Linked DNA regions of Xenopus tropicalis. The protein of the gene in region 7 interacts with the protein of the main gene of each other region in a biochemical or structural test. Links are inferred from orthologs where the notes say so. Each region holds a gene or a part of one and is shown on either strand. Other genes may lie near its edges.

Region 1 (3,123 bases), on a different chromosome or scaffold from region 7:
CCCTAAACCTAAACCATTATTTCATTTTTCTTTTTTTTCCTATTTTGTCTTCTATGAATGGGTTTTTTCTAGCCTAGTCTCCCACTGTTGCTTTCATTATTTTGAGACATAGCATTCCTATTATGTTATAAGCCCCTAACATGAAACTAGCAGGATGAATGGTGTAACAACCCAAAGAATTGTGGACCAATAGTGATGAGTGAAATTTTTCGCCAGGCATGAATTTGCGGCAAATTTCCATGTTTTCGCATTGGCAGATTGTTTCGTGAAACGGATGCAAAAATTTGCCATGGAAACATTCAGCGCACAACAAAAAATTGTTGACGCACATAATTTTTGGCGTTTCGCTAAAAAAAAATTCACGGGCAGAAAAACAAACATTACATTTTTTTTTAAGTGCAGACAGATTCGCTCTTCACTATGGTTCAACATGGGCATAGCCAAATTGTGCTGTAAATGTATAACAGTACAAAAATACCATAAAACTACACATTCTATAAAATCTCCTTGCTAGTGTTATAAAAATGATCATGTGCTAAGCAACATTCAACCTTAGTTTTATACATCTGCTAACTGTATATTTGTATAATTGTATTTTTGTATTGTATTTTTGTCCATTTTAACTTATGACATATAAAACCACTTAGGTTTCAAAATGAACCTAAGTCCACTTTGCATTGATTTATTTATTGCAGTTTTTATTTTAAGCAAAGTAGATCGCTATAATTAATAATGATCCACTATCAGAGACAAAATTAAAACTAATCTGTAAAACTAATCTTTAAGAATTTGATAAAATAAGAAACTGTTATGGTAGAAACACAATCTATTTGGTACAGAAGTCTACATTTAAAGGGCACCTATTTTTAGGGAAAACTGCTATCTGGTTTGAAGAAGCGATACTGGCAAAAACAGTGGTGTACAGTGGTGGAGCAGATGGGGAGAAACTTTGAGCATGGCAACATCAGCGATGCACTCCTTTACTTATCCTTCCTTGAACAAGGGCTGTTCATATTGGGACACTTGTCCACAGGTAAAGTTCCAAAAGGTGGACATCCCCTGAATGTCTGGACTGGATGGCTGCCAGCTGTGATATTCCAATTTGCACCACCAGTTCTTTTTACACAAACTGGGGCATTCAGGGGATATGTTCATGCATTGACCCAATTTTTCATTTGCATAGCGAGATATAGTGATGCCTTAATGGCTGAGAGGGGCTCCAGGTAACTCTTGGATGGTAGTGCCACTGTCAATGCTAGTATTGTTTCCCATATACAGAGGTAAGCCTATGGGGCTAAGATAAATCTCTTATAAAGCAGCAATTTAACCATTTTTTATCTGTCTTAATTTGTCTTTATTTGTTTTAGTGGCAAAGTCATTAGAACTGTATTACTCACTGTATTCTGTTCCAGTGATATGTGCAAGGACACGGAAGGACTTAGACTGCAGATTGGCAGCACGACGTGCCCAGTCATCAATTTCACTCTCAGTTTTGCCCTGATTTTTAAGCACAGCCTGATACACTGGAGAAGCAATGTCTACGAGAGGATCTTTAACAGGGAGGTTACTGTAACGCACAGAGAAGTGAGTTGGAAATTGCCAAAAAGGAGATAAAAATTTTAAGGCCTCCCTACCATGCAGATACAAGACCAAAGTCAAACAGCTTACATACATAAAATTAGGGGAACAATTGAGAAATTAGTCAAAATATCACAAAAATTTGCACTTTGTACTGAATTCACCTACTGTTAAAAGACATGAAGCCATTTTAGCAGTGGAGTGGAAGCTGCAGGCCTTGCATTTTAGGAAAACTGAAACAACCAGTAGTGTTGGAAAATATTTCACGTGTTTTACAATACATGTTAATTAACTAGATATCTGTGAGCATTGAAATACAGACATAGCTCTATCTGTCTCTCCATCATCTTTCCATCTGTATATCTAACTACCTCTATGAAATACAGGTATGAGATCTGTTATCCCGAAACCCGTTATTCAGGAAGTTCAGAAAGTACAGGAAGGCCATCTCCCATTAACTCCATTGTAGTCAAAAAATTAATTCCTTTTTCTCTGTAATTATAAAACAGTACCTTGTATATGATCCTAACTAAGATATAATTAATCCTTATTGGAGGCACAAATTGGGTTATTTAATAGGTTTTTTTTTGGCAGGGTTACAGTCTGGAGATCCATCCCCTTATACAGAAGACCCTAGGTCCCAAGCATTCTGGATTACAAATCTCATACATAAATATCCTTAAATTATGTTACATATACAGTAGAGCAGAACACATTTACGTCTTCACAATCATGTTAGTTTTAGCAAAGTTATTTTATGGATAAACAGCCATTATATGTATTGCTATTTGATCAAACCTAATACTTTGCTGTTGGCTGCATTCTGCTGAGATTTTTAACATGACCAGTTATTTTACAATCAATAAATTATCAAGCTACACCCAGCAGGATTATTATCTGAAAATCAACTAAATCCACTATAAAATTCAATATACACTGGGCACAGTGATATAAAAAAAAAACCAGTAGGGCATAACATGAGTTCTTCATATCTACATGTCTATCCAGTTATATATATCTTGGTCTATTCTGCAATAGTAAAAACAACAATCCATATTTTATATCATCTTGCTATAGTACTATTTTGTTACACATATATTTCCAATACTATTGACCTTACAATACTAAAAGCTGTCTTAAGGCCATGTTTAGCTGCATTTTCTACAATAAGTTGCAGGTACTAAATGCAACCAAAATGCAATTAATTAAGTGACAACAACTCCAGGTACGGTTTTGTACGATAATATCGGGGTGTGTATGGCCTGCTTTAGACAGAAAAAATTTAGAACTACATTGCTTCAGTAATTGTACTATGTAATTTGGATAGACTTGGGTACAAGCTATTGAAATGCATAATTGAGCCATAAGGTTGTACTGTATGAAGAAGCTGATAATAGTTGATAAACTGCTTTTAGCAACTCTTTCAGAGTTATGTAATAACACATTAAAAAATACAGCTACAAAAATAAATACCAGAACACATATCATCTATAGGTGCACCTAAACTGTAGCAACAACACCATTCATGTATACATGGCTGCTTGA
Region 2 (4,236 bases), on a different chromosome or scaffold from region 7:
GGGTAGGGGCACAGACAGCAGGTAGGAGTAGAGGGTAGAGATTGGGACTAGAGGGTAGGGGCACAGACAGTAGGTAGGAGTAGAGGGTAGAGGTTGGGACTAGAGGGTAGGGGCACAGACAGTAGGTAGGAGTAGAGGGTAGAGGTTGGGACTAGAGGGTAGGGGCACAGACAGCAGGTAGGAGTAGAGGGTAGAGGTTGGGACTAGAGGGTAGGAGCACAGACAGCAAGTAGGAGTAGAGGGTAGGAGCTGGGACTAGAGGGTAGGAGCACAGACAGTAGGTAGGAGTAGAGGGTAGGAGCTGGGACTAGAGGGTAGGAGCACAGACAGTAGGTAGGAGTAGAGGGTAGGAGCTGGGACTAGAGGGTAGGGGCACAGACAGTAGGTAGGAGTAGAGGGTAGGAGCTGGGACTAGAGGGTAGGGGCACAGACAGTAGGTAGGAGTAGAGGGTAGGAGCTGGGACTAGAGGGTAGGGGCACAGACAGTAGGTAGGAGTAGAGGGTAGGAGCTGGGACTAGAGGGTAGGAGCTGGGACTAGAGGGTAGGAGCTGGGACTAGAGGGTAGGAGCTGGGACTAGAGGGTAGGAGCTGGGACTAGAGGGTAGGAGCACAGACAGCAGGTAGGAGTAGAGGATAGAGGCTGGGACTAGAGGGTAGGGGCACAGACAGCAGGTAGGAGTAGAGGGTAGAGGCTGGGACTAGAGGGTAGGGGCACAGACAGCAGGTAGGAGTAGAGGATAGAGGCTGGGACTAGAGGGTAGGGGCACAGACAGCAGGTAGGAGTAGAGGATAGAGGCTGGGACTAGAGGGTAGGGGCACAGACAGCAGGTAGGAGTAGAGGATAGAGGCTGGGACTAGAGGGTAGGGGCACAGACAGCAGGTAGGAGTAGAGGATAGAGGCTGGGACTAGAGGGTAGGGGCACAGACAGCAGGTAGGAGTAGAGGATAGAGGCTGGGACTAGAGGGTAGGGGCACAGACAGCAGGTAGGAGTAGAGGGTAGAGGCTGGGACTAGAGGGTAGGGGCACAGACAGCAGGTAGGACTAGAGGGTAGGGGCACAGACAGCAGGTAGGACTAGAGGGTAGGGGCACAGACAGCAGGTAGGAGTAGAGGGTAGGAGTACAGACAGTAGGTAGGAGTAGAGGCTAGGACTAGAGGGTAGGGGCACAGACAGCAGGTAGGACTAGAGGGTAGGAGCACAGACAGTAGGTAGGAGTAGAGGGTAGGAGCACAGACAGTAGGTAGGAGTAGAGGCTAGGACTAGAGGGTAGGGGCACAGACAGCAGGTAGGACTAGAGGGTAGGAGCACAGACAGTAGGTAGGAGTAGAGGCTAGAACTAGAGGGTAGGGGCACAGACAGCAGGTAGGACTAGAGGGTAGGAGTACAGACAGTAGGTAGGAGTAGAGGCTGGAACTAGAGGGTAGGGGCACAGAGAGCCCTGGTAGCCCAGAGAAACAAAGCCCAAGAAAGAGAAACATGGCCTTACCCTGACCAGATAGGGAACCCCGGGGCCCATGACCTTGTCGTCGGGGTGCAGCCAGCCTCGGGTGGGCTTATTGACAAAGCTGCCGTGCCGGGTCCATTCGTCGCCGGCCAGTTGGCCTCCTTCCACCCGGGACTTTCGCCCGCAGCTCAGTTTGTTCATATCCTGTGAGAAAACAGTGAAAGTCCGGCCTGATTCGGGGCTACTGCCTTCATTGGGGGTGTCCCCTTGCTCCCCGGGGCTGGCGCTCTCCTTCCCCCCCATGGAGGAAGAGAAGCTGCGCAGGTTAAGCAGGTTGGCCGGGTTGGAAAGTTTCAGGTTGGCCATTTTGGGGAAGAAGGAGCACAGAGTGGTGGGGCTCTCCTCCGACTCAGAGGACAGCTCGGCCAGCGGCAGCATTGGGGCAAGGGAGGAAGACGAGGCAGAGCTGGGCAGGGACACCATGATTTCCACCGAAGGGCTGAGGGGCCCAGCGGCCAAAGCCTCTTCCACCGAGCTGACCGACTCATTGCGAAGGTGATTGTATTTGGTTTTGGGAAGCAGATCCATGATGCCAGCTGCCAGCTTGCACTCGACAGCAATGGGGGGTCTGGTTCTCATAGTCCGGTACCGGGCAAACCTGTATACACGGATCTCCCTCCAGAACCCCACATTGGTACCCCTCCAATCAGCTAGAAAGGGGCAGCCAGGAGCCGGGCTGGGGCATTGGCTTGAGTGCCGGGGAGAGAAGAATCCAGCGGGAGACCAGCAGGTTCTGATCCGGGAGCCAGAGAGAGGAGAGTGTCACTTGGTGCATGTCCCACTCACTGTGCATGGGGGCCCCCTCCCACTGATCAATACATTCCCTACACGGCCGCTGATGGGTGGGTACCTCTCCCCTGGCCTGCGGGGCCCCGGCACCCTACGGAGAGAGGATATGGGAGAGCCGGCAGCACCGAGCAGGAAGGCAGCAGAGGAAATGCTGAGGGGGGGGGGAAATAAATCCATATATTTATATCTCCGATGTGCGGCTGGGGGCTCCTCTGGGGGAAAGGTCAGCGAGGGGGGGGGCTAATCCTTGTGGGAAAATGTGCAGATGGACACCGGGCCGGGGGAGGGAGCCATTCCACCTGCCTTCCTACCCATCTCTGGGGCAGGGAGAGAGCTCAGGTGCAGGGGGGGTGGGAGCCTTGCACTGTGTGCGAGTGTGAGTGAGGGACGGTGAGTGGGAGTCGGGATGAATGGAGCTGGGGCTGCCTGATTACCTATTCACTGGCTCCCAGGAGAAGGAGGCTGCTGCTGGCCAATAGCACGCGCTCTGCTGACTCACCCAGCTACTGCCCCCCCCTCACTTCCTCCTCTCAATGAAACCCACCCCCCCCCTCCTACTCACTACTGGGCCCCGGAGCTGACTATCTACTGCTTGCAACAGTCTCCCCATACATCACAGCCCTCAGTTCATCTAAGCCTGGGGGGCTCAACCAGCATGGAATAATGTGGGGGGGGCACAGAACACTAATAAAATATATATATTCCCAGTCACTTGTCTTTAGGGACTAACTATGGAATGGGGAGCTAGGGGCCCAGCCTGAAGGCCAGTTAGGGGTACCCCTGGAACTATAGCGGGGTGACTGTTACCCAAATGTTTCTATATATCTGTAACCTTGTTATGGGCTAAGGGGGCCCAGCCTGAAGGCCAGTTAGGGGGGGATTTGGGGTGAGTGCTTATTTGTGCCCTGGGTACCCCTGGAACTATAGCAGGGTGACTGTTACCCCAATGTTTCTATATATCTGTAACCTTGTTATGGGCTAAGGGGGCCCAGCCTGAAGGCCAGTTAGGGGGGGATTTGGGGTGAGTGCTTATTTGTGCCCTGGGTACCCCTGGAACTATAGCGGGGTGACTGTTACCCCAATGTTTCTATATATCTGTAACCTTGTTATGGGCTAAGGGGGCCCAGCCTGAAGGCCAGTTAGGGGGGGATTTGGGGCGAGTGCTTATTTGTGCCCTGGGTACCCCTGGAACTATAGCGGGGTGACTGTTACCCCAATGTTTCTATATATCTGTAACCTTGTTATGGGCTAAGGGGGCCCAGCCTGAAGGCCAGTTAGGGGGGATTTGGGGTGAGTGCTTATTTGTGCCCTGGGTACCCCTGGAACTATAGCGGGGTGACTGTTACCCCAATGTTTCTATATATCTGTAACCTTGTTATGGGCTAAGGGGGCCCAGCCTGAAGGCCAGTTAGGGGGGGATTTGGGGCGAGTGCTTATTTGTGCCCTGGGTACCCCTGGAACTATAGCGGGGTGACTGTTACCCCAATGTTTCTATATATCTGTAACCTTGTTATGGGCTAAGGGGGCCCAGCCTGAAGGCCAGTTAGGGGGGATTTGGGGTGAGTGCTTATTTGTGCCCTGGGTACCCCTGGAACTATAGCAGGGTGACTGTTACCCCAATGTTTCTATATATCTGTAACCTTGTTATGGGCTAAGGGGGCCCAGCCTGAAGGCCAGTTAGGGGGGATTTGGGGTGAGTGCTTATTTGTGCCCTGGGTACCCCTGGAACTATAGCAGGGTGACTGTTACCCCAATGTTTCTATATATCTGTAACCTTGTTATGGGCTAAGGGGGCCCAGCCTGAAGGCCAGTTAGGGGGGGATTTGGGGTGAGTGCTTATTTGTGCCCTGGGCACCCCTGGAACTATAGCAGGGTGACTGTTACCCCAATGTTTCTATATATCTGTAACCTTGTTATGGGCTAAGGGGGCCCAGCCTGAAG
Region 3 (4,077 bases), about 22 Mb from region 7:
TCCTGTTTGTTCTGTAGGTGGGCACATGATACTGCTCATTCTGCCTGTAGGGGGCACAGGATCCTGTTAGTTCTGTAGGTGGGCACATGATACTGCTCATTCTGCCTGTAGGGGGGCACAGGATCTTGTTTGTTCTGTAGGTGGGCACATAATACTGCTCATTCTGCCTGTAGGGGGGCACAGGATCCTGTTTGCTTTGTAGGTGGGCACATAATACAGCCACTTGATTATTCTACTCAAGAGACAAACATGCTTATACTACCTTTAGGGAAACACAGGTTCTTGCTCAATCTGAGATTCTTCTCATCCTCCCCACACTGGATCTCGTACCCCCTATCTTGTCTGGGTACAAACAGGCACTTTCTGACTCTCTCCAATTAAGACCATTATTTTTTATACTTTTGTTCAATTCACTTATCTTCTTAATTTTGATTTATCCAAGATCTTTGCTTTAGGGTGCAAAATCCAAGGTGCATGAGCATCAAATTTGTCAGATGATAAAAACACAAGAGATGAAATCAAGACTATCTGGTGTTTTTTATTTTAATGATTGGGCACTTAGCTTAGTACATTTGCTATTTCCTAACATGGTTGGGTCCAAAACAGATGGAGTGGCCCTGGCTAATTTATTTTTGGATCAACAAGCTTCTTTAGCATGTGAGTGTAGTCAGCTGTGCCACGTAGCCCTTTGGATTTCTGCAGTCTGGCACCAGGCCCGGACTGGCAATCTGGGGATTCTGGAAAATGCCAGATGGACCTCTGCAAGACACCATAGACAGTCACTATTTATTGGGCTGGTGGGGGGCTGTTTGGGCTTCTGTGTACTTGGAATGCCAGGGCCTATTCAGAATCCCAGTCCAGATCTGTCTGGCATCCATGTGTTTTTCCAGGTTATTTACAAATCCATTTGTCAATTATGTCATCGGACTACAGCGCCCCATAGCAGCCAGTCAGACGATTGCTTTCATTGAAAGAAATGGACATAACTGGACAAAACAGAGCTAAATGCAAATTTCTTACTATGGCTGACTGCAAGGGTCAACACCAATATTGATTACACCCCACCAGTATTTAATCTTCAAATTTCACAATACTGGTGGAGATTAGACACCCACACTTAAATTGGGACCAATTTGATGGTAAATTTGATTTGATGGTAACAGGTTACTAATCCTAGCACTAGCAGACCATTCGGGGGCAAATGAAGAATACGTCTGGTGATAGTATATCCATAGAGTTGGTCTGTGTATGGCCACCTGATTATGGGATTGCACCTCAAAGCTCTGATCTTACCTTTACCATCTTCATTTATGTTTGATTTTGTTTGCCTTTTTATTTGGATGCTTCTTTAATCTTTTGTTTTGCATTCTGAAGATATCCACCAAACACCCCCCTGCCAAAAATGCCAAGAGCAGGCTTTACACTGTTCCCCAAAAGTCACCCTCTATTACCTCAAAAAGCCCCTCCAGTCCAGCTGCCTCATCAGTACGGAGCATTCAGAGAACATCACTTGGTGCAGTTGGCCAGCCAGGCGTTACTGCAAGGCTGCACAGAGCCAAGGTAAGGAAAGCAGAGCAACATGCAAGGGTTAATGCAGAGTGGGCTCCATGCTAAATCTGCAGTGTTATTCTCTCTGCAACTGCTCTCAGTTCAATACGTCCGTCTCACACAGGAAATGATAGACTGGTGATATCCCATATGTTTAAGATCCTTAGTTCACCTCCATGGCCTCCAAGCCTTTTGGGTCTGCTGCAGGCCCAGACTGGCAATTTGTGGATTCTGGGAAATACCAGAGGGGCTGCTGTAAGATGCCATAGACAGTCACTATTTATTGGGCCTGTGGGGGGCTGTTTGGGTCTCTGTGTACTTGAAATGCCAGGGCCTATTTTGACTTCCAGTCCAGGCCTGGCCTGCTGTAAAGGAATTATATGTGCCCTGCTTTATATGCTGGCCATGTTGCCTGTGGCCTCAATGTTCTCTGGCTGTAGCCTGAAAAACCCCAAATAATCATTCACAGCATTTTGTCTTTCTTTTAACACTCCTGTCACAATAGTATTATATCTGTCCTGGCCCAAGGCTTCCTTAGCAGCACCCTAGCCAACACACTGCTGCTTTTAGTTTGCTTTTATGGTTTTATTCATTGTGCCCAGTCTCAAAGTGTGTATTTATGTGCCTGTCATGTACCATTCTTTTCTTGACACCTGCCCCCCCATGTTACTGCAGTGGAGAAACATAAGTGGGTACTTTTACGTTAATTTGGTATTCAGTAAATGCATGCTATAGATTTACTATAAAGACAAGACTAGTGCAGGGTAGATAAGGCTCATATAGGACGGAAGAGTATTGCGATTTCTAGATACGTATATGTCACATGGATGCAAGAGACTGTCATACCTAGTGGAGCGTGTGGGTGGGAGCTGAGTGCCCTGTGCCTATCATTATTCACAAAGGCGAATTAGAAGATGACAAAGATAAAAAATATTGCTATATTTGCTTACTAGCTATTCCCTGATAACCATTTTGTATTATGAGAATATTTGAGCTTGGGTGTGTGAGTGGACCTGACACAAGTCCTGTGATAAACCCCAAGCAAACACTGCTGCCACTGAATGGACTTATGCACAAAATAACACATATTTGGTTGCCAGGAGGCTGGAGGTCCGGAAAGTGCTAAAAGCCAGCTCAGTGCTTCAAGAAATGCAACCAGCGCCTCCAGAATCCCAGCAAAGACTTCGTCCATCCCCAAGACCCCCCCTAGTGGTAAGTTTGTAGGGATGCAAAAGCCTTTGGGCAAGATGTCACCATAGTGGGAGCAGAATATAAATTCACTACTAAAATCCTCATTGGCACATGGGCTAGGGTGATATGGTTGGCATATAAAAGATATGAGTCAGTGGAAGAATAATTTAGACCACTTAGATCCAACCAGCAGCTTTCCAAGTGTATTGACATTCAGGTAAATGCCAGTACAGCTGATGGGAATACAAAGAAGAGAAAAGCTTGCATTATGTGATAGAGGCAACTACAGAGAAAGGGAAATGGAGCAGATAGTGGAAAAAGAGAAAGTGATATAGGAAAGGGAATCCAGGGGAATGTAAAGTATTTAGTGGCATAAGGAATGGGATACAGAAGTAATGTGAGAGGAAATAGGAAACTGAGGTAGAAAGCCATTTAAAGGAAGGGGGGTGAGGATTTGTGGCACAGGAGATAGGTGTAAGCAGCCAAGCTACTAAGGGCGTAACATATGATATGGGAAGGTTTCTGATACAGTGATACCTGGGACTGATCTATGGTGCAGCAGGAGGCTTGGTTCTGTAGGACAGTGGGCTTGGTTTTGTAGGACAGTGGGCTTGGTTCTGTAGGACAGTGGGCTTGGTTCTGTAGGACAGTGGGCTTGGTTCTGTAAGAGAGTGGGCTTGGTTCTGTAGGACAGCGGGCTGGTTCTGTAGGACAGCGGGCTTAGTTCAGTAGGAGAGTGGGCTTGGTTCTATAGGAGAGCGTGCTTGGTTCTGTAGGAGAGCGTGCTTGGTTCTATAGGACAGCATGCTTGGTTCTGTAGGAGAGTGGGCTTGGTTCTGTAGGACAGCATGCTTGGTTCTGTAGGAGAGTGGGCTTGGTTCTGTAGGAGAGTGGGCTTGGTTCTGTAGGACAGCATGCTTGGTTCTGTAGGAGAGTGGGCTTGGTTCTGTAGGACAGCGGGCTGGTTCTGTAGGACAGCGGGCTGGTTCTGTAGGAGAGTGGGCTTGGTTCTGTAGGAGAGTGGGCTTGGTTCTGTAGGACAGCATGCTTGGTTCTGTAGGAGAGTGGGCTTGGTTCTGTAGGACAGCAGGCTGGTTCTGTAGGACAGCGGGCTGGTTCTGTAGGAGAGTGGGCTTGGTTCTGTAGGAGAGTGGGCTTGGTTCTGTAGGACAGCATGCTTGGTTCTGTAGGAGAGTGGGCTTGGTTCTGTAGGACAGCATGCTTGGTTCTGTAGGAGAGTGGGCTTGGTTCTGTAGGACAGCATGCTTGGTTCTGTAGGAGAGTGGGCTTGGTTCTATAGGACAGCATGCTTGGTTCTGTAGGAGAGTGGGCTTGGTT
Region 4 (4,691 bases), on a different chromosome or scaffold from region 7:
GTGGGATAGCAGGTATAGTAGGGAGAGATGGTGCCTATAGTAGCAGTGGGGGGATAATAGCTTCTGGGAATGGACTTGGGCTATAGTAGCAGTTGGATAATAATGCACTGAATTACTATTTCATTTAATGGCCAAACGCCAGAGTAATGACAAATGAGCATTCTCAGCGTTTTTCAGAACTCTCAAATATCCTGATCCATTACCCTCTATTTTTATAACAAGACTAATAATTTGATGGATAAAATGCTTGAGTTTGCTCTCCCTGTTTCACGTTTCAGTGCAAACATTTGTGAATATTTGGCAGGCTAATCACTAAAATATAGAGAAACAAAACACGAGCAATGTAATACTGAGTCACCCCCAAATAACAATGCATTTCTTGTTTTTTTATCAGTTGAGGAGTTTTCCTTTGCGCTGTGCCTTCCAGTAATCCTGCTGCGCGACATACATGCAGCTTCCTGTTGCGCACAACCTGCTTCCTTGGGAGCGCTGCTCTCTGTTACTGAATACCTACACAATTTCAATGCGTAATTAATTATAAAAATGTTACTTTAATATAAGTTTTCTCTCTAAACAGTTAAATAAAATGGAACTATATCATTTCTCAGACATCTCGAATATCATCTATCTATCTGTCTGTCAATTTGTCTGTCTATCTATCATCTATCTATCTGTCTGTCAATTTGTCTGTCTATCTATCATCTATCTATCTGTCTGTCAATTTGTCTATATATCACCTATCTATCTATCTATCTATCACCTATCTATCTATCTATCTATCTATCTATCTATCTATCTATCTGCCATCTATCGATGTAGTTCATCTATCTGTCTCATCTCTGTCTATCTATCCATTTAAATATATAAATAGATATATATTGTAACCATAATATATACCTACTTCATCTGTGTATCTATCTATCTATCTATCTGTCTACCTATTTGTCTGTCTATCTATCACCTATTTATCTATCTGCTATATATCTATCTATCTAACATGTTACGGAACGACCCCTTATCCGGAAAACCCTTCATCCCAAGCATTCTGGATAATGGGTCCTGAACCAGCCTCTCATTCAAACCACTCCCTGGTTACTAAGGTAACTTGGACCCTAGCAACCAGATAGCTTCTGAAATTCCAAGCTGTAAACACTATTAGTAAACCCTCATTGCAAATTGTCTCAGGATATTACTTTCTACATTATACTAAAAGTTAACTCAAAGGTGAATAACCCCTTCACAGCCTCATGTGCCCTGCTGGGGGGCCCTATTATAACACCCTCCTGTAGGTATATTATTGCTAGCCCAATAAAGTTTAGAGCTAAAGCAGTCCCGTGGCAGACCCATTTTTAGCAACCCTCCCTGAACATTTCCCTTGTGATGAATTATGTATATGTAAAGCATCTGAGGCTGAGCCGTGTCCATAGCAAATAGCCTGGGGGGGGGGGGGCAGAAGAGTTGTGGTCCCTCTGTAAATCAATATATTGCTTTAACAAGCAGTGATGTGAATATCTGCCGAGAGATAATGTACATTTGGGCTCCCAGGGCCGGGCCGGGCAGGATGTAACGCTGTGCCCTTAACTCTCCAGATGGTGGAATGCCTGTAGTGTAGTGTTCAGATTTCCTGTTGGAGTCTTTGAATTTCCTGAAATCCCTCTGCTTTCAACCCAAGCGCTTTCCAAAAAAAAAAAAAAAAAGTCATTTTTTTTTTCTCTTATTCCTGCTCACATGCCTGATTCCCCTTCCTGCCCCTCGCTCTTTCCAGTGTTTTACATTAACCAGGAGGCTGCATGGATCTCTCCCAAGCACTTCCCAGGAATGATCTGACTTAGAGCTTTAGATTCTACAAAAGAAACATTTGTTCAGGCACTTTTTTTTCTTTTTGGGTTACACTTTTTCTTTTTGGAATATGTTTCCCCCCTTCTTTGTGTGGAAGTCTGTTTCCTCTCGGATCATGGAATAATGGATTTAATCGTGAGAGGACAAGAGCCTGGAATGGGAATTGGAACTGGATGGTTTCTGGTGAGTGCGGGAAAGAAAGAAAAAGAGAGAAACGCGAATGAATGAAAGCGAATGAGACTGAAAGAGTTTGGTGCGTTCCACAACTGGTATAAATGTTTTATTTGCATCCTTCCGACATAACAAAGGGTTAATTCATTCTGGGAATCATAGTCCGGCAACTCTTAGAGACGTAAGGTTAAAAGGGAAGGGGATAAGGATATCATATAAAATAATGCAGCCAACCTGGGACTAAAATCTGCATTTATTTGTAAGTTTATAAAGTTAGGGCTAAAGTACTTGGGGGTATAAATGTATACAGATATGGGACCTGTTATCCAGAATGCTCTGGACCTGAGGTTTTCCAGATACGGGTTCTTTCTGCAATTTGGATCTCTATCTAACATGAAATAAACCCAATAGGACTGTTCTGCCCCCAATAAGGGGTAATTATATCTTAGTTGGTATCAAGTACAGGTACTGTTTTATTATTACAGAGAAAAGGGAATCATTTAACCATTAAATAAACCCAATAGGGCTGTTCTGCCCCCAATAAGGGGTAATTATATCTTAGTTGGGATCAAGTACAGGTACTGTTTTATTATTACAGAGAAAAGGGAATCATTTAACCATGAAATAAACCCAATAGGGCTGTTCTGCCCCAATAAGGGGTAATTATATCTTAGTTGGGATCAAGTACAGGTACTGTTTTATTATTACAGAGAAAAGGGAATCATTTAACCATGAAATAAACCCAATAGGGCTGTTCTGTCCCAATAAGGGGTAATTATATCTTAGTTGGGATCAAGTACAGGTACTGTTTTATTATTACAGAGAAAAGGGAATCATTTAACCATTAAATAAACCCAATAGGGCTGTTCTGCCCCCAATAAGGGGTAATTATATCTTAGTTGGGATCAAGTACAGGTACTGTTTTATTATTACAGAGAAAAGGGAATCATTTAACCATGAAATAAACCCAATAGGGCTGTTCTGCCCCCAATAAGGGGTAATTATATCTTAGTTGGGATCAAGTACAGGTACTGTTTTATTATTACAGAGAAAAGGGAATCATTTAACCATGAAATAAACCCAATAGGGCTGTTCTGCCCCCAATAAGGGGTAATTATATCTTAGTTGGGATCAAGTACAGGTACTGTTTTATTATTACAGAGAAAAGGGAATCATTTAACCATGAAATAAACCCAATAGGGCTGTTCTGTCCCAATAAGGGGTAATTATATCTTAGTTGGGATCAAGTACAGGTACTGTTTTATTATTACAGAGAAAAGGGAATCATTTAACCATTAAATAAACCCAATAGGGCTGTTCTGCCCCAATAAGGGGTAATTATATCTTAGTTGGGATCAAGTACAGGTACTGTTTTATTATTACAGAGAAAAGGGAATCATTTAACCATTAAATAAACCCAATAGGGCTGTTCTGCCCCCAATAAGGGGTAATTATATCTTAGTTGGGATCAAGTACAGGTACTGTTTTATTATTACAGAGAAAAGGGAATCATTTAACCATTAAATAAACCCAATAGGGCTGTTCTGCCCCCAATAAGGGGTAATTATATCTTAGTTGGGATCAAGTACAGGTACTGTTTTATTATTACAGAGAAAAGGGAATCATTTAACCATTAAATAAACCCAATAGGGCTGTTCTGCCCCCAATAAGGGGTAATTATATCTTACAGGAGAACATTAAACAGGGGATCAAAGGAAACTATTCCCAGAAGAGCTTACAGTCTGTTTTCAGTTTCTGTAGGGGGCAGCTTGGTTTGAAACAACTGCTGTGAATCAGTGGGGGCACGGCCATGCTATGGGGTGATGTGTGGGGTCCTGTTGAATTAATTACAGGCTTGAAGCTACCAGGGCTTTCAGAGAGGCGCTGTATAAACAGAGTTAGTGTTGAGCAGTCTTAGGGGCCCCAGCTTAAGGGATAAGGTAAATCTGATAAACAAACTGACTTTGGCCGGGAGGTGTAGTTCAGCAATAGCTCATTGGCTGCGCTGGTGTATATAATAAAATAAAGTGCAGTCATTTTGCAATGTTACCTGTAATTTGTGCACACACAGGCTTGAATATCAATGCACACAAGCACTAACGCCGTGCACAGAAAGTTCCGACTGCCTACATTCCATTCATTGCCGCCATGCAGCGCACACAGGGTTAAAGAGATACACACTAACATGAGAAGGAACATAGCAGAGAGCATTTCCTAGCTAAAACCACCTAATTCTCTAAGCGGAATAGTAGAGATGAGCAAAATGATCGGATTTCTGCGCAAAATGTAACGGTTCGACAACTGAGATCTAAAATTGTGTATATGAAGCAGGAACAATATTTGTGTTATTTTATTGCATTTTCCAAAACCCAGAGATTTATCACATGTCCTTAGAATAAAATAGACACTTCTTTGTGCAAGTTGTCATTATGTGCTGCTGAGTGATGGGGAGGGGGCTGCCTGGGGGCAAAATGGTAAGTGAGGACAGGGGAAACATAGGGACAGAGTGAGGGTAGGAACAAGGGGCAAAGGCAATGGGCCAGAAATAGGGGTAGGCAGGTGGGCGCAAGGGTGGGCAGCAAGCATGTACCTCTTCTGTCTGTCTACCCCTAGTCCGTGCCTTCGGTCAACCCTGCTCTGCTCTCATTTCCCTACAGAAATAGGGGTTGGTAGCACTAGGT
Region 5 (4,647 bases), on a different chromosome or scaffold from region 7:
CAGCGCAGGATGATGCATTGTACCAGGTGACATCATTGAATGCTTACTGCACACGCGGGCTGGAGTTCACTACAAGACTTGGGGAGGTTTGCTTAAAATCGGGAGAATGCTATTGGGGGATGGGAGACCAGGGGGAGAACCACCAAGATAACTCCCGATAAAACAAGGGTGATTGACAGCTCTGTGGCTCACAATATACTCTACATACACAATATAAATGTCACAATATAAGGCTGACTAGTAATAAATACAGATGATTACCGGTACTACATGGCAGCTCTAAAGCCAGTGCAATTATCAGATTTTAATAATCAGCCATGCAGCATCAGCTTATATAAAAGGCCAACCTCCTTTTTTGCAATGACAAAAGTAATTAGGGAATATACTGTAACTGAATAACCATGAACATAAGATGTCCAACACATTAGCCCATATAATTACCAGTAAAAGGAGGAACCAAGGTCCTTAAAATAAATACTTTCTCTGGGTACACAGGGTTCCTAATCATAGACTTGCATTACACCACACAGCCAAGTACAGTGAAACATCAATTTTACATCCCCTGATTTTAAGTTTTCCTGCATTTTACACCATCGTTTTTTGGTCCCACTAATAAATAATAAACTTCTGGGAAAATGTAAAATCAGGGATTTTGCGCCATCTATTTCTGGCCCCCTGAAAAACTTAAAATGGGGGTTCTACTGTAGTCTCATTCTTCATACTTTATAGGTGAACACATACAAAGAGAACACATTTACAGCTACAAGGCCACTGAAACGTATCTACACACGTGCAAGTTTCTTTTTTGGAGCCAGAATTAGTTCTAAACTCAGAACATGAAACCTTTCTAAATGACGGGCATTTGATTTTACAACTGTGCCCCCCCTCATCCCCTACAGCAGTGATCCCCAACCAGTGGCTCCTGAGCAACATGTTGCTCACCAGCCCCTTTGATGTTGCTCCCAGTGGCCTCAAAGTTGGTGCCCATTTTTGAATTTCTGACTTGGAGGCAAGTTTTGGAGGAATAAAGACCATTTGTACTTCTAAACAGAGCCTTTAGTAGTCTGCCAGTACACACTGGGCTACTAATTAACCAATCTGAGTCCTTATTGGTCACCTACTAGGCAAGTTTTTGTGCTTGTGTTGCTCCCCAGCTTTTTTTTCATTGAAATGTTGCTCACGGGTAAAAAAGGTTGGGGATCCCTGCCCTACAGTGTAAGTCACATTAAGCTACGGTCTTACAGTAACAAGCCAGACTCCATTATACGTAGAAACAACGTGCCATCTTTTGTCACGTATCTAGCCATCCAAAACACAGAATCCATGTTTAATACACTACGCTTTCATTCAAGTCTCATTTCTTTGTACGGGGAGCGGAAATCCCGTGTTGCCTAGCGCGCAGTTTTAATTCGCTCTCCCCTCCCCAGGTGGTGTTACGTTGCTTCCGGTGGGCGGTGCTAGCTACGATCTCTTCTTTTGTTGAGGCCGTGCAAGTGCGAGCGGATTTTCTTATCGACACCAGCACTGAGCGTATTGCCGACCAGTAACACCGAACCGAGCAACATGGAGACCGAGACCAAATACTTACCCGAACTGATGGCTGAGAAGGACAGCCTGGACCCATCTTTCACGCACGCTATGAGCCTCCTGGGCAAGGGTGAGTCGGGCTCGGGCGGGGTGTATTCATTTAAGGGTTTGGCGTGAGGGGGACAAAGGGAGTAGGCCAGGGGCCTAGGTAGTAGGATTGGAGTAAAAACACCTTTATGCATTCGGGCCTGCTATGCTTGGCCATGTGGCGTGTGTTAGGTTGCAAAGAATAATGGCGGCTTTGAGCTCACTGCATGCTGTGGATCAGTGTCTGGTTTGTCGACCAACCCTCCCCCACGGCCGTGTTTTTGCAGCTGCTGTTCGAAGTTAGACAAATTGGGGGACTGCCTTCCGAATGTTGCTGCTACTGGGTTTCCCATAGGCATATCCCTGTATGATGCTACACACAGTGTAACCCATGGGTGCAATACAGGCCGACTTAGATACTGTTTTGTCATTTCCAAATCCCTTTTAAGACCAGACCCTTTAATTGAAGTCCGCGTTGTCTTATAATCATTGTTTCAGAAATATTTAGGGAATGATATGTTAAACGTGAAGTATCTGATGGAGAAAATGCATTGTCCCCAAATCACACTGTATGGCCTTCAGTCAGACCCCCACAGCCTTTCTGTTTACCCTTTATTAGAATATATATCCCTTACATAGCAAAAGGTGCTGTGTCCTTATTCTTTAGGAAACATGAATAATTTGTTGGAAATTAGTAAACAAAAGGAATTCTGGTAATGAATTCCAGACTCTTAAAAAAAAAAAAAAAAATCCCATTTACATGGGTTTATCCTGTAGGCTACAGCTCACCCACTGGGTTTGAAGCTGAAGCCAGGACAATAGCTGATCAGATTCCCAACTACAGACCGGTTTTGCCCTTCTTGGGGCTCATCAGTGTAGTGCAGGGTTTTCTGATCAGCTTAGGTAGAGTCACCATGTGGTTCTACAAACAAATTAATAGGGTTACCTATTTATTTGTTTGGAAATTAGTAGATATGGGGGCAGCTGCTTGTTTCATATCTTTTGTCTTGTGAGTACATTTATTGTGACCTGCTGTGGTAATCTGTACAATGTATATATGCTGTGTTACCAGTTCTGTGATGTAGCAAGGGAATGAGATCCAAATGGCACTGTTTGCCCATGGTTTCTACATAAAAGCTTCTTTGTTCTGTGAGAGATACTGACGATTTCCTCCCTCTGTTGGCAGCTGTTCTTTGTCTAGAGGAGGTCAGGGTATAAACCCCATTGTATGTGCAAGAGAGAATTTATTTCTGCTACATGTTAACATGTTTAACATTTCTTAAACATTTCCAACAGTCCTTGTAACTGAAAAGTTTTAACATTGATTACAATTGTATTGTATGAAAGGATCTATATATATGTTTGGCTAAAGCATTGGACTGTGTGGGGGTTACAATATGTGTAAAAACTGGTTTGCTTTGCAATACCTGTTTGGAAGTGAAGTATGGCGATTGGTCAGTAGTTTCATTTATTTGTATGGTTAGTATTTGTCATGTATTTTTGAAGCTAGGGGTGCTTTGATTTTATGATGGACCACAAAGGCTTGAACCAAGACTTTTTTTAAGGCAAAGATTTCATTTGCTTATTTTTTCCTAGTTATAAGCTGCATTAATATAATGCATTTACTCCTTAGTTGTGCGGTTGTCTTTTGCATGATTGAAAAAAAAAAATGATCGACTATTCCTATGTAGTGTTTCAATTTTACAAATGTAGCCTCGATACCAATACAGACTTAGAAGTAAACTTGAAGTCTATATAATACCAATCAGATTTCTTTTTTTTTATCCTCACACGACTCCTTGGTCTTTACAAATCTTGTGTTTTAAAATGAAGGGCTGTAGCTATTTTTTCCCCTGCAGATTACCCTATATTTCTGTTCTTTCTATTGTGCATTGGGTATTCCCGTTCAGATTTGGGGGGTGGTAGATCAGAAGGATAAGAATGAAATGCATTAGTAGTGTTTGTCAGTGACAGTGAAGCTTTCTTGCAATTTTAGGGTAGCCCTGGTGAACTCTTGTCCATCCTTTAGTAAGGCTGATGTCAATATGCCCCACTTGTGCAGTCACTTAAAGTAATGCTATCCTCCTGTTACTGTGTGCATTTGTTGGGCTTTGGCAAGAAAGTGCAAAAGATTTATTTTCTGGCAAAATGTTGCCCCATAAGCATGGTGATGGGAGGATTCCATCCTTCTGCGCAGAATGGATGGAATTGGTCTTTTTTTTTTTTTAAGCTGGGTGGAAATTGCCTGGTACAGGTATAGGACCCATTATCCAGAATGCTCGGGACCAAGGGTATTCCGGATAAGGAGTCTTTCCGTAATTTGGATCTCCATACCTTAAGTCTACTAAAAAATCAAAACATTAATTAACCCCAATAGGATTGTTTTGCATCCAATAAGGATTAATTATATCTTAGTTGGGATCAATTACATGGTACTGTTTTATTACTACAGAGAAAAAGGAAATCAGTTTAAAAATTCTGAATTATTTGATTAAAATGGAGTCTATGAGAGACGGACTTTCCGTAATTCAGAGCTTTCTGGATAACGGGTTTCCGGATAAGGGGTCCTATACCCGTATTAAATGAAGTTTTTTTTCTATAGATTTTGTGATTGTCCACAGAATAAATATACTTGGCAGTAGGTTTCTACACAAAATGTTGTTCACTCTATGCACTTTTGTTTTATGCTGTGATGCCTTTTAGTAGGGGATACCCCAAAAAAGAGGTTGAAATTCTTGCCACTGCTCAGTTGTGCTAAAATGTTTAAAAGATAATAAAAACATCCAAATTAATTTATACAGAAATTGAAAGGCTGAAGAAGGGAGGTGATGCCAAGAAAGATGAAGAAGATACTTATCTGGACTTATTTTCCCATAAAAACATGAAGTTAAAAGAGCGCATTTTGATACCAGTCAAGCTGTATCCCAAGGTAAGATTCTTTAGGAAACAATTGTAAAGCTTACATGAGAAGGTTGCCGCAACATACATTAAAGATTCCTGACCTGAACAAATCAACCAGTCACTCCAGTCTGA
Region 6 (4,077 bases), on a different chromosome or scaffold from region 7:
CCACTTTTTGGTGATTGCCTAAATGTATATACAAATACACGCACTCATGCATAAGCAGTCTGTCCCTTTCATATGAAGCAGGACTGGACAAAGGGGTAGTCAGGGTAGGCACCTGCCAAGGGCGATATTTGTTCCTTCAGATCCTTGATTTTGCAATAAGCAATGGGGATGAAGGATGGCTAGTGCAAGTTACAGTAGCAGTGGCAAAGGACCTGTTGAGGAGGGTTGGTGATTTTGTTTCTTGCAGCTGAGGCAGCAGCAGAGGACTGGAACCAAGAATGGAAGTTTGCTAAGGGTTGCCTCGGGCGCCCAATTCTTTTGGATCATCTCTGATATGAAGTACTTTTATGGGAACTTGTTTTAGATTAATCTATGCCAGTTTTGCGGTGGTTAGCAGAGGCTTATGTGATACTATGCAGATGTACTGAAAAGTCAGCAATGGGTAAAGTTATTCCTGTCAAGTACTGTTATAGCCAAACTTTATATGTCCAGGTGTATTTAGGCTCAGTTTGTGATTTTTATTATTTCTTCTGCTACTGACAAACATGTATCAAAACTATATAGCTTTTGTTTTCATGCTGTAGTCTAAAGTCCCCAAGAAAGAGAAACTATTTTAAAGTCAAATGTTTTCTACAAATTGTCTCGCATTTTTTTGTGTTCAATCTGTTTTAGTGCATATAGATTAAAAAACAATTTGGTTAAATCTCCAGCAGTGCCATGTTAGGAATCTTGCTCTTGCAGTGATTAGTAAATATAGAAAATTAAAAAAACTTGTCTGAGATGCTCATTTCTTACAAACTGATTACCTCTGTGTTTACATATAGTTGATCACACAAGGGTTGAGCTTCACGATGGGGACCCCAATGAACAGGTCTCTGATTACATCAATGCTAACATTATTATGGTAAGTATATATGATATGTATTTCCTTTTTCTTCTTTCCAATGTTATGGTATTTATTTGTGTGTGTTTTCCTTTCGACTTATTTAGCCTGAATTTGAAACAAAATGCAACAATCCCAAACCCAAGAAACGCTACATTGCTACACAAGGCTGCCTACAAAATACAGTGAATGATTTTTGGAGAATGGTGTTTCAAGAAAATTCCAGAGTTATTGTCATGACCACAAAGGAAGTTGAACGAGGAAAGGTGCATTGTGTTTTGTTTAGTCCTATTTTATTCTGATCTTCTTGAAGCAGTACTTCTAGGACAGATACAGTATATAGTTTGATAACTAGTAGCTTGTCAACATGCCATGGAACTCAGCTCCTGAATGTGATTCAGATATGGATCATATAATTTCTGCAATAGTAAGCCAATGAAGCTGCAAACAGAAAAATTGTTGCAGATTTGCATTAATTGCATTCCTGTGTCCTGTTTTTCAGAGTAAATGTGTAAAGTACTGGCCAGATGAGTTTGCTTTGAAAGAATATGGGGTGATGCGTGTGAGGAATGTTAAAGAAACTCCAGCTCATGACTATATACTAAGAGAGCTTAAGCTTTCCAAAGTTGGGCAAGTATGTGTTTTTTTTTATCTGTTTTTGTCTTTACTAACATAATGTAGGTAGCTTCAAAGTGTGCAATATTTCTTTATATTGCTATTTTTTATTGCTTTCTATACTCCCACCTGCAGTTGTTAGGGTCACTTACTCTAGGAACCAGTCAGATAGAAAGCTGTGAACTGCTATGCTGTATTGTAAGTTATTAGTACTTACTGATCCATTTTTGCCCTTTTCTATACATTTTCCATTAAATATTTAATAAAAATGTTCATAAAACTATTTAAAATATTTAAGGGTCTCTTACAAATAGTATTTATTTCTCTTTATTTACAGTGCCAACTTCTTTGTAGTGCTGTACAGAGAATGTTTAATCATTCACTTTAGTACCCACTACAGCAGTGCTGTCCAACTGGTGGCCTTTAGGCTGGATGCCTCCCTCTGTGTAGCCCCTACCTGTCAGGCTGCTGAGACTGCTTAACTTTGTGTAAGATTTAAATGGTATTGGTCCTGAGATTAACTGCCCCCTGCATGGTTTACACCTCAGATTTAGGCTGAAAACCCCTGTATTGTTTAAATATTTAATCCCCTTTTAATCGCTGCATTATTCACACCTCGGGCTCAGACCCACATTGTTCACACCTCCGACTGTAGGAGCAGTGAATTGTGTTCCTGTATGTACTGCCTGCCCTATTCTGCCTGTGTGTATGGAACACACAGGCAGGGTAGGGCAGGCAGAATATGGCATACATAGGCAGGGTAGGGCAGGGAGAGTATGGCACACACAGGCAGTACTCTGTCTGCCCTATGCTGCCTGTGTATGCCATACTCTGCCTGCCCTATGCTGCCTGTGGGAAGCGAACCTGGCAGGGGTTTGTTCTGGAAGTTTGTTAGCATTTGAAAATAGTCATTATATGGTCCCTAAGGTGTGTAATTAGGTGCTGGGGGTTGCTGTGCTATCCAGAGGGGAGGAGGAGGCATGGATTTAAGGGTGTGGCTTAATATGACATAATATAGTTCTTTCACATATAAATTAAGGGTGATATTCCTACAGTGAGCACCAACCATTTGGGGTTTTCTGTGCTGGGTGTGATTTGAAGTGTGTGCAGTTTAAAAAAGCGGAGTGGTCAAAACAGGCTTCCATTATCGGCCCTCCACCATGTAGACCAGAAAAATTCTGACCCTCGGTACCACAGAAGTTGGACAGCACTGCACTACAGTGTAATTTCCCCCATAATGTTTCTAGAATGATACATTTCTAGCATGACATTTTTATTTTAAGAGTTCTGTTTTATGTGGGAGTTACAGGCGTTATGATTATGTATTGTCTTAGGATAAAGTAAATGCTCATTTATTGTTCTGTGTAAACAACCAATGGCTGAACACAAGTTTGTTTTTTTTGTTTTTTTCCCCCCACTAAAGGGGAACACTGAAAGGACAGTATGGCAATACCATTTTAAAACATGGCCAGATCATGGTGTACCAACCGACCCTGGTGGAGTCTTGGACTTTTTAGAGGAAGTACACCACAAACAAGATGGTATCGCTGATGCTGGGCCTGTCGTTGTTCATTGCAGGTAAGGATTGTACAGGGCTGGAAGTATGTTATTGTTGTCAAAACACACACATTAATGACCACCAAACCCTAACTTCTCCCTTTATTTGTCTAATGGATTTATTAACAAATGACTGATAATTCCCCTTCTTTTGATTTTATAAAGTGGTTAAAAACTTCTTCTTCCTTTTATCACCATTTAATTCCTGCAATATATGCCATTGTTTTTTTCTGACCACAGCTGTCCTTAGCAGTTACTTTATCTCTTTTAGTGTTATAATGCCCATTTAAGATGCTCTTTGGTGACATAGTATTGATAGATGGACCTGGAAACATTGCAAGAAAATATTATTAATGTAAAAATACAGGGTTAGCTGCAGCAGGTATAACTTGTCATGAATTTGATCCTAACCATTGCAGACAAATACAGTGCAAATGTATTTTATTTTTTAACAAGATTTTTTGTGTGCTGTCAATTATTTGGAATATATTAAATACATTTTTTAAGATACACAGTATGAGCACAGTGCATTGGTTTACTAACCACCTGCCACAGTTGATAAGGTGGTTGTCATTAAAATGCAGATATAAATTAATATAGGCTTTTATATTAAAATAGTTTTCCCCTTTCAAGCACAAAAAGTGCCAAAAAAGATAACTTTTTAAAGTAAACGCTTTGTATTGTTGTTATGATATGGTTTTAGAATTTTTATACATTAAACCATGTCATAATAAAAAATGTAGTTTCAGTTCTGTCAAATAAAATTAGCAGGAGACCAAAATGTTGGTGTAGGATTTGTTATTTAGTAAAATGTGAGAACTGGTCAAAGGTCTAACTGCTTTTGCAAGGCACTTTACTATCAGTAGGTATGTATGGGATTCCATATCCAGAAACCTGTTATCCAGAAAGCTTCAGATTTTAAGAAGGCCATCTCTCATAGGCTCCTTTTTAATCAAATATTTTTAATTTCTAAAAATGGCTTCTTTTTGCTCTGTAGTGATAAAACAGAACCTTGTAATTCA
Region 7 (4,836 bases):
AGGACAGGCAGAGTATGGCACACACAGGCAGCATAGGGCAGGCAGAGTATGGCACACACAGGCAGCATAGGGCAAGCAGACTATGGAACACACAGGCAGCATAGGGAAGGCAGAGTATAGCACAAGCAGGCGGCGTAGGACAGGCAGAGTATGGCACACACAGGTAGCATACATCTGAAGTGTGAACAATAGAGGGGGTTACAGCCTGAATCTGAGGTGTGAACAATGCAGGGTGATACATTACAATGCACTGCTCAAGCTTTCCTATTTAATCTCCACTGGTATCACTACCTGGTTGCTAGGGTCATTGGAGGCTTAGCAACCAGATAACAGTCATCCAAACAATAGTTCACAAAGAGCTAGGGAAAAGTACTAGAGGTGGGAGTGCTGGGTGCATGGGGTGAAGTACTAGAGGCGCGGGTGCTGGGTGTATGGGGTGAAGTACTAGAGACATGTGAGCTTGGTGTATGGGGAGAAGTACTAGAGAGGTGGGTGCTGGGTGTATGGGGAGAAGTACTAGAGGGGTGGGTGCTGGGTGTATGGGTAGAAGTACTAGAGAGGTGGGTGCTGGGTGTATGGGGAGAAGTACTAGAGAGGTGGGTGCTGGGTGTATGGGGAGAAGTACTAGAGGGGTGGGTGCTGGGTGTATGGGGAGAAGTACTAGAGGGGTGGGTGCTGGGTGTATGGGGAGAAGTACTAGAGAGGTGGGTGCTGGGTGTATGGGAAGAAGTACTAGAGGGGTGGGTGCTGGGTGTATGGGGAGAAGTACTAGAGAGGTGGGTGCTGGGTGTATGGGGAGAAGTACTAGAGGGGTGGGTGCTGGGTGTATGGGGAGAAGTACTAGAGGGGTGGGTGCTGGGTGTATGGGGAGAAGTACTAGAGAGGTGGGTGCTGGGTGTATGGGGAGAAGTAATAGAGGGGTGGGTGCTGGGTGTATGGGGAGAAGTACTAGAGGGGTGGGCGCTTTATAAATAAATGTTAATGTAATGCTGGGTGTATGGGGAGAAGTACTAGAGAGGTGGGTGCTGGGTGTATGGGGAGAAGTACTAGAGGGGTGGGCGCTTTATAAATAAATGTTAATGTAATGCTGGGTGTATGGGGAGAAGTACTAGAGGGGTGGGTGCTGGGTGTATGGGGAGAAGTACTAGAGGGGTGGGTGCTGGGTGTATGGGGAGAAGTACTAGAGGGGTGGGTGCTGGGTGTATGGGGAGAAGTACTAGAGGGGTGGGTGCTGGGTGTATGGGGAGAAGTACTAGAGGGGTGGGTGCTGGGTGTATGGGGAGAAGTACTAGAGGGGTGGGTGCTGGGTGTATGGGGAGAAGTACTAGAGGGGTGGGTGCTGGGTGTATGGGGAGAAGTACTAGAGGGGTGGGTGCTGGGTGTATGGGGAGAAGTATAGGGTTGTGTAATTCCTCTAGTTGAGTGAATCAGTCGGTGCGACTCACCAGGGAAGAATGAGAGAAAGGAAGACAAGGGAAGCCAGGCTAGCTCTGGGAGGGGAGGAGGAGAGAGGGGGAAGTGTTGGGATTAGAGGTGGGATCTGAGAGGGGAATAATGCAAATGAAAGGGGAAGGACAAAGGGGAAAGACAAAAAGGGACAGGCCGAATTAATAAGCGCCCCGGACTGTGGTGAGAGAGCAGGCTGGGTGTCACTGGGGCAGTACAGAGACCCCCCAACGGGAGTGACAGGCTGGGCCAGGGCTGATTCAGTGGGAGGAGGGACAGGCGGACCCGGGGGAGGGCAGCACAGGCGGAGGGGAGGAGGGAGCTGGAGCCGGCCGGGCGTGAACCGTACGCTGAGTAGATCCCCAAACTTCCCGGCCCAGGAGGAATCTGATGTGTGGGGAGAGGCACCGGGAGATAGTGGGTACGAGAAGAGCGCTCTTGCCCCCCTCTGTGTGAGGGGGGTTCCCGGAGAGTGGAATCTCCCGATATCTCAGGCAGGACAAGGTAAGTAGTGGCTGCACCGTGCCGCTAGGGGGCGTAGGATAGTACCACGGGTGCAGAGAATGGGGGCGCTATAGGCTGCTTGGGAATGGTGTATGTAACGCCTTTGGGGGTATTTGGAGCACTGCTACCATATGGGCCTTTAAATCTCACTCTGGCCCGGTATTCGGTGGGTATGCCTGTGTATATGTTGTGCACACAGGCCCTTTAATGGTCAGGGTAAGTGCAGCATGTTTCCTGCGAACATCAGGGGTTAAACTTCTGGGCCAATAAGCTAGCGTACATTTAACACATGATTTTGAGATGGGGGCATGCTGGGAGTCACTGGGCAAGTCTGGAGTTGAGAGAATATTGGGGAGTGAAGGGGCTAGTTAGCAATATTGGGTGTGCTGGGCATGGATGGGGGGAATTCTATAGTATACAGGGCATGTATGGGGGAATGCTATAGTATACAGGGCATGTATGGGGGGAATGCTATAGTATACAGGGCATGTATGGGGGGAATGCTATAGTATACAGGGCATGTATGGGGGGAATGCTATAGTATACAGGGCATGTATGGGGGGAATGCTATAGTATACAGGGCATGTATGGGGGGAATGCTATAGTATACAGGGCATGTATGGGGGGAATGCTATAGTATACAGGGCATGTATGGGGGGAATGCTATAGTATACAGGGCATGTATGGGGGGAATGCTATAGTATACAGGGCATGTATGGGGGGAATGCAGGAGGGTACAGGGCATGTATGGGGGAATGCAGGAGGGTACAGGGCATGTATGGGGGAATGCAGGAGGGTACAGGGTGTGTGTGGGTAAATGGTACAGGGAGTAAAGGATGGCTGGAGAGTACAGGGCATGCATGGAGGAGTGGTGAAGGGTACAAGGCGTGCATGGTGGGTTATCATAGATTGTACACTTGTGAGTCCTCTCTATAATAAACCAAAGGCCATCCTGCTACTGGTTGAAGTTGAGAGTTAAAATTCAACCCAGCTCTATAGGTATGGGTAGTTCTGGGGAGCAAAACTATGCTATGTACCTGTGTATGTATGTGGAACAATTCTGCATATAAACACACACAATGGTCAAACAGCTACTATGGCAGTGGGTTGCACAATTATTATAGTTTATATCTAAATTTAGATTGGTATTAAATGTCATACAGAGCTGGCAGCATTGTTTTTTTTTTTAACTATGTGATTGCTACAATTAGCAAATGGCAAGGGTAAATGTTTATGAATGTACTCAAGCAAATGGGTATCCCTCCCCCTTTTAACCATTTGCTGTGCAGCTTTTAAAGCAGGAGGCTTTAGGGCCATGATCATAACTTTCCAATGTCGCCTTGTTAGTGCCAGGTTGTAGGTAAAGGGCTAAGGGTGCTAGGTTATACGTAGGATGCACCAAACCCACTATTTTCAGATTCCGTCAAACTCAGTGTCCTTCGTAAAGGATTCGGCCAAATACCAAGCATATGTAAATTAGGATAGGGAAGGGTTAAAGCGAGCCTCGTGCGCAGGTTGCGCTGAAAAAATTTCAACTTCTGTGTTTATATGACAAAAAGGCACATGATTTTTAGTGTTCTGATTCAATTCAGTGCATCCCTAGCTGTAGGTATAGGTACATGAGTGCCAAGCAGTGGGTACAGTGGTATATGTGCCAGGCTTTAGATAAAGGAAGGGGCTGTTTACCAGGCTGTAGGTATAGGTACATAAGTGCCAAGCAGCGGGTACAGTGGTATATGTGCCAGGCTGTAGGTATAGGTACATAAGGGCCAAGCAACAGGTACAGTGATATATGTGCCAGGCTGTAGGTATAGGTACATAAGTGCCAAGCAGTGGGTACAGTGGTATATGTGCCAGGCTGTAGGTATAGGTACATAAGGGCCAAGCAACAGGTACAGTGATATATGTGCCAGGCTGAAGGTATAGGTACATAAGTGCCAAGCAGCGGGTACAGTAGTATATGTGCCAGGCTGTAGGTATAGGTACATAAGGGCCAAGCAGCAGGTACAGTGGTATATGTGCCAGGCTGAAGGTATAGGTACATAAGTGCCAAGCAGCGGGTACAGTGGTATATGTGCCAGGCTGAAGGTATAGGTACATAAGTGCCAAGCAGCGGGTACAGTGGTATATGTGCCAGGCTATAGGTATAGGTACATAAGTGCCAAGCAGTGGGTACAGTGGTATATGTGCCAGGCTGTAGGTATATGTATGTGAGTTCTCAAGCTCTGAGTACAATGATACATGTGCCAGGCTGTAGTCAAAGAGGTATATTTGCTACACTGTATGTAAAGGGCTATATGTACCAGACTGTTGGTACAAGTGAAAGGCTTCTGATACAGGGGTATGTATGCTAGGTTGTTGGGAAGGGCCTATGTAGCTAGGCTGGGTAAAGGGCAACGTGTGCCAGGCTTTGTTATCATCGGCTTATCAAATATACTGACACATGAATGTATCTTAGCAAATAACCTTTAGATAAAATCAGCAGGTCTTTTCAACCAAAAATTTATGCTCTGGCCTCCCTCTAGTGCAAAGCTACAACTCCCGAGGGTGATGGGAGTTGTAGTTTTGTACTAGGTGGAGGCTACAGTTGCCTTAGAGCCAGCTAAATCCCAGCTCACCTTCACACGTGCCTCAATCCCTGTTGAGTCTATCAGAATGCAATCTGGAGTGTACTCCCCTCTCTCACCCTGTGTACTCTGAGCCTTCCGAGCCAGCTACGTGTTACAGCCTGCCTGCCATTCTTGGTTAAACTCACATCTCTCCCTCCCACTTACAACCCCACAAAGGGATGAACTTAAAGGGATCCTCAGGCCAAAATCTGTTATTTGTACAACGAAGGAAAATCTAAAAATTGACATTCCTGTATTCATTAATGAAAGATTGCCA

Evidence for each region.
Region 1: the proteins of src (region 7) and ldb3 interact in a test that uses a peptide from one of them, tested with the Homo sapiens proteins (2 studies listed by IntAct, with this or other methods). The link is inferred for Xenopus tropicalis from reciprocal best matches to the Homo sapiens genes SRC and LDB3.
Region 2: of the proteins of src (region 7) and shc1, one has a biochemical effect on the other in vitro, tested with the Homo sapiens proteins (4 studies listed by BioGRID and IntAct, with this or other methods). The link is inferred for Xenopus tropicalis from reciprocal best matches to the Homo sapiens genes SRC and SHC1.
Region 3: the proteins of src (region 7) and mapt form a complex in vitro, tested with the Homo sapiens proteins (3 studies listed by BioGRID and IntAct, with this or other methods). The link is inferred for Xenopus tropicalis from reciprocal best matches to the Homo sapiens genes SRC and MAPT.
Region 4: the proteins of src (region 7) and asap1 form a complex in vitro, tested with the Homo sapiens proteins (2 studies listed by BioGRID and IntAct). The link is inferred for Xenopus tropicalis from reciprocal best matches to the Homo sapiens genes SRC and ASAP1.
Region 5: the proteins of src (region 7) and khdrbs1 form a complex in vitro, tested with the Homo sapiens proteins (8 studies listed by BioGRID, with this or other methods). The link is inferred for Xenopus tropicalis from reciprocal best matches to the Homo sapiens genes SRC and KHDRBS1.
Region 6: of the proteins of src (region 7) and ptpn11, one has a biochemical effect on the other in vitro, tested with the Homo sapiens proteins (2 studies listed by BioGRID and IntAct). The link is inferred for Xenopus tropicalis from reciprocal best matches to the Homo sapiens genes SRC and PTPN11.

Annotation. Positions count from the first base shown.
Region 1 is NC_030683.2:49,220,997-49,224,119, reverse strand, and holds part of ldb3 (LIM domain-binding protein 3), read right to left. Parts: intron 1,568-3,123; coding exon 1,398-1,567; intron 1-1,397. UniProt on the Homo sapiens protein: May function as an adapter in striated muscle to couple protein kinase C-mediated signaling via its LIM domains to the cytoskeleton.
Region 2 is NC_030684.2:145,082,936-145,087,171, reverse strand, and holds the start of shc1 (SHC-transforming protein 1), read right to left. Parts: upstream 2,801-4,236; 5' UTR 2,086-2,800; coding exon 1,489-2,085; intron 1-1,488. UniProt on the Homo sapiens protein: Signaling adapter that couples activated growth factor receptors to signaling pathways. Participates in a signaling cascade initiated by activated KIT and KITLG/SCF.
Region 3 is NC_030686.2:17,254,619-17,258,695, forward strand, and holds part of mapt (microtubule-associated protein tau), read left to right. Parts: intron 1-1,374; coding exon 1,375-1,560; intron 1,561-2,648; coding exon 2,649-2,760; intron 2,761-4,077. UniProt on the Homo sapiens protein: Promotes microtubule assembly and stability, and might be involved in the establishment and maintenance of neuronal polarity.
Region 4 is NC_030682.2:142,238,432-142,243,122, reverse strand, and holds the start of asap1 (arf-GAP with SH3 domain, ANK repeat and PH domain-containing protein 1), read left to right. Parts: upstream 1-1,738; 5' UTR 1,739-2,022; intron 2,023-4,691. UniProt on the Homo sapiens protein: Possesses phosphatidylinositol 4,5-bisphosphate-dependent GTPase-activating protein activity for ARF1 (ADP ribosylation factor 1) and ARF5 and a lesser activity towards ARF6.
Region 5 is NC_030678.2:86,520,838-86,525,484, forward strand, and holds the start of khdrbs1 (KH domain-containing, RNA-binding, signal transduction-associated protein 1), read left to right. Parts: upstream 1-1,559; 5' UTR 1,560-1,563; coding exon 1,564-1,657; intron 1,658-4,415; coding exon 4,416-4,543; intron 4,544-4,647. UniProt on the Homo sapiens protein: Recruited and tyrosine phosphorylated by several receptor systems, for example the T-cell, leptin and insulin receptors. Once phosphorylated, functions as an adapter protein in signal transduction cascades by binding to SH2 and SH3 domain-containing proteins.
Region 6 is NC_030677.2:163,824,623-163,828,699, forward strand, and holds part of ptpn11 (tyrosine-protein phosphatase non-receptor type 11), read left to right. Parts: intron 1-824; coding exon 825-904; intron 905-990; coding exon 991-1,149; intron 1,150-1,385; coding exon 1,386-1,517; intron 1,518-2,921; coding exon 2,922-3,076; intron 3,077-4,077. UniProt on the Homo sapiens protein: Acts downstream of various receptor and cytoplasmic protein tyrosine kinases to participate in the signal transduction from the cell surface to the nucleus. Positively regulates MAPK signal transduction pathway. Dephosphorylates GAB1, ARHGAP35 and EGFR.
Region 7 is NC_030686.2:39,476,892-39,481,727, reverse strand, and holds the start of src (proto-oncogene tyrosine-protein kinase Src), read left to right. Parts: upstream 1-1,788; 5' UTR 1,789-1,950; intron 1,951-2,081; exon of another isoform or gene 2,082-2,157; coding exon of another isoform or gene 2,158-2,166; intron 2,167-4,836. UniProt on the Homo sapiens protein: Non-receptor protein tyrosine kinase which is activated following engagement of many different classes of cellular receptors including immune response receptors, integrins and other adhesion receptors, receptor protein tyrosine kinases, G protein-coupled receptors as well as cytokine receptors.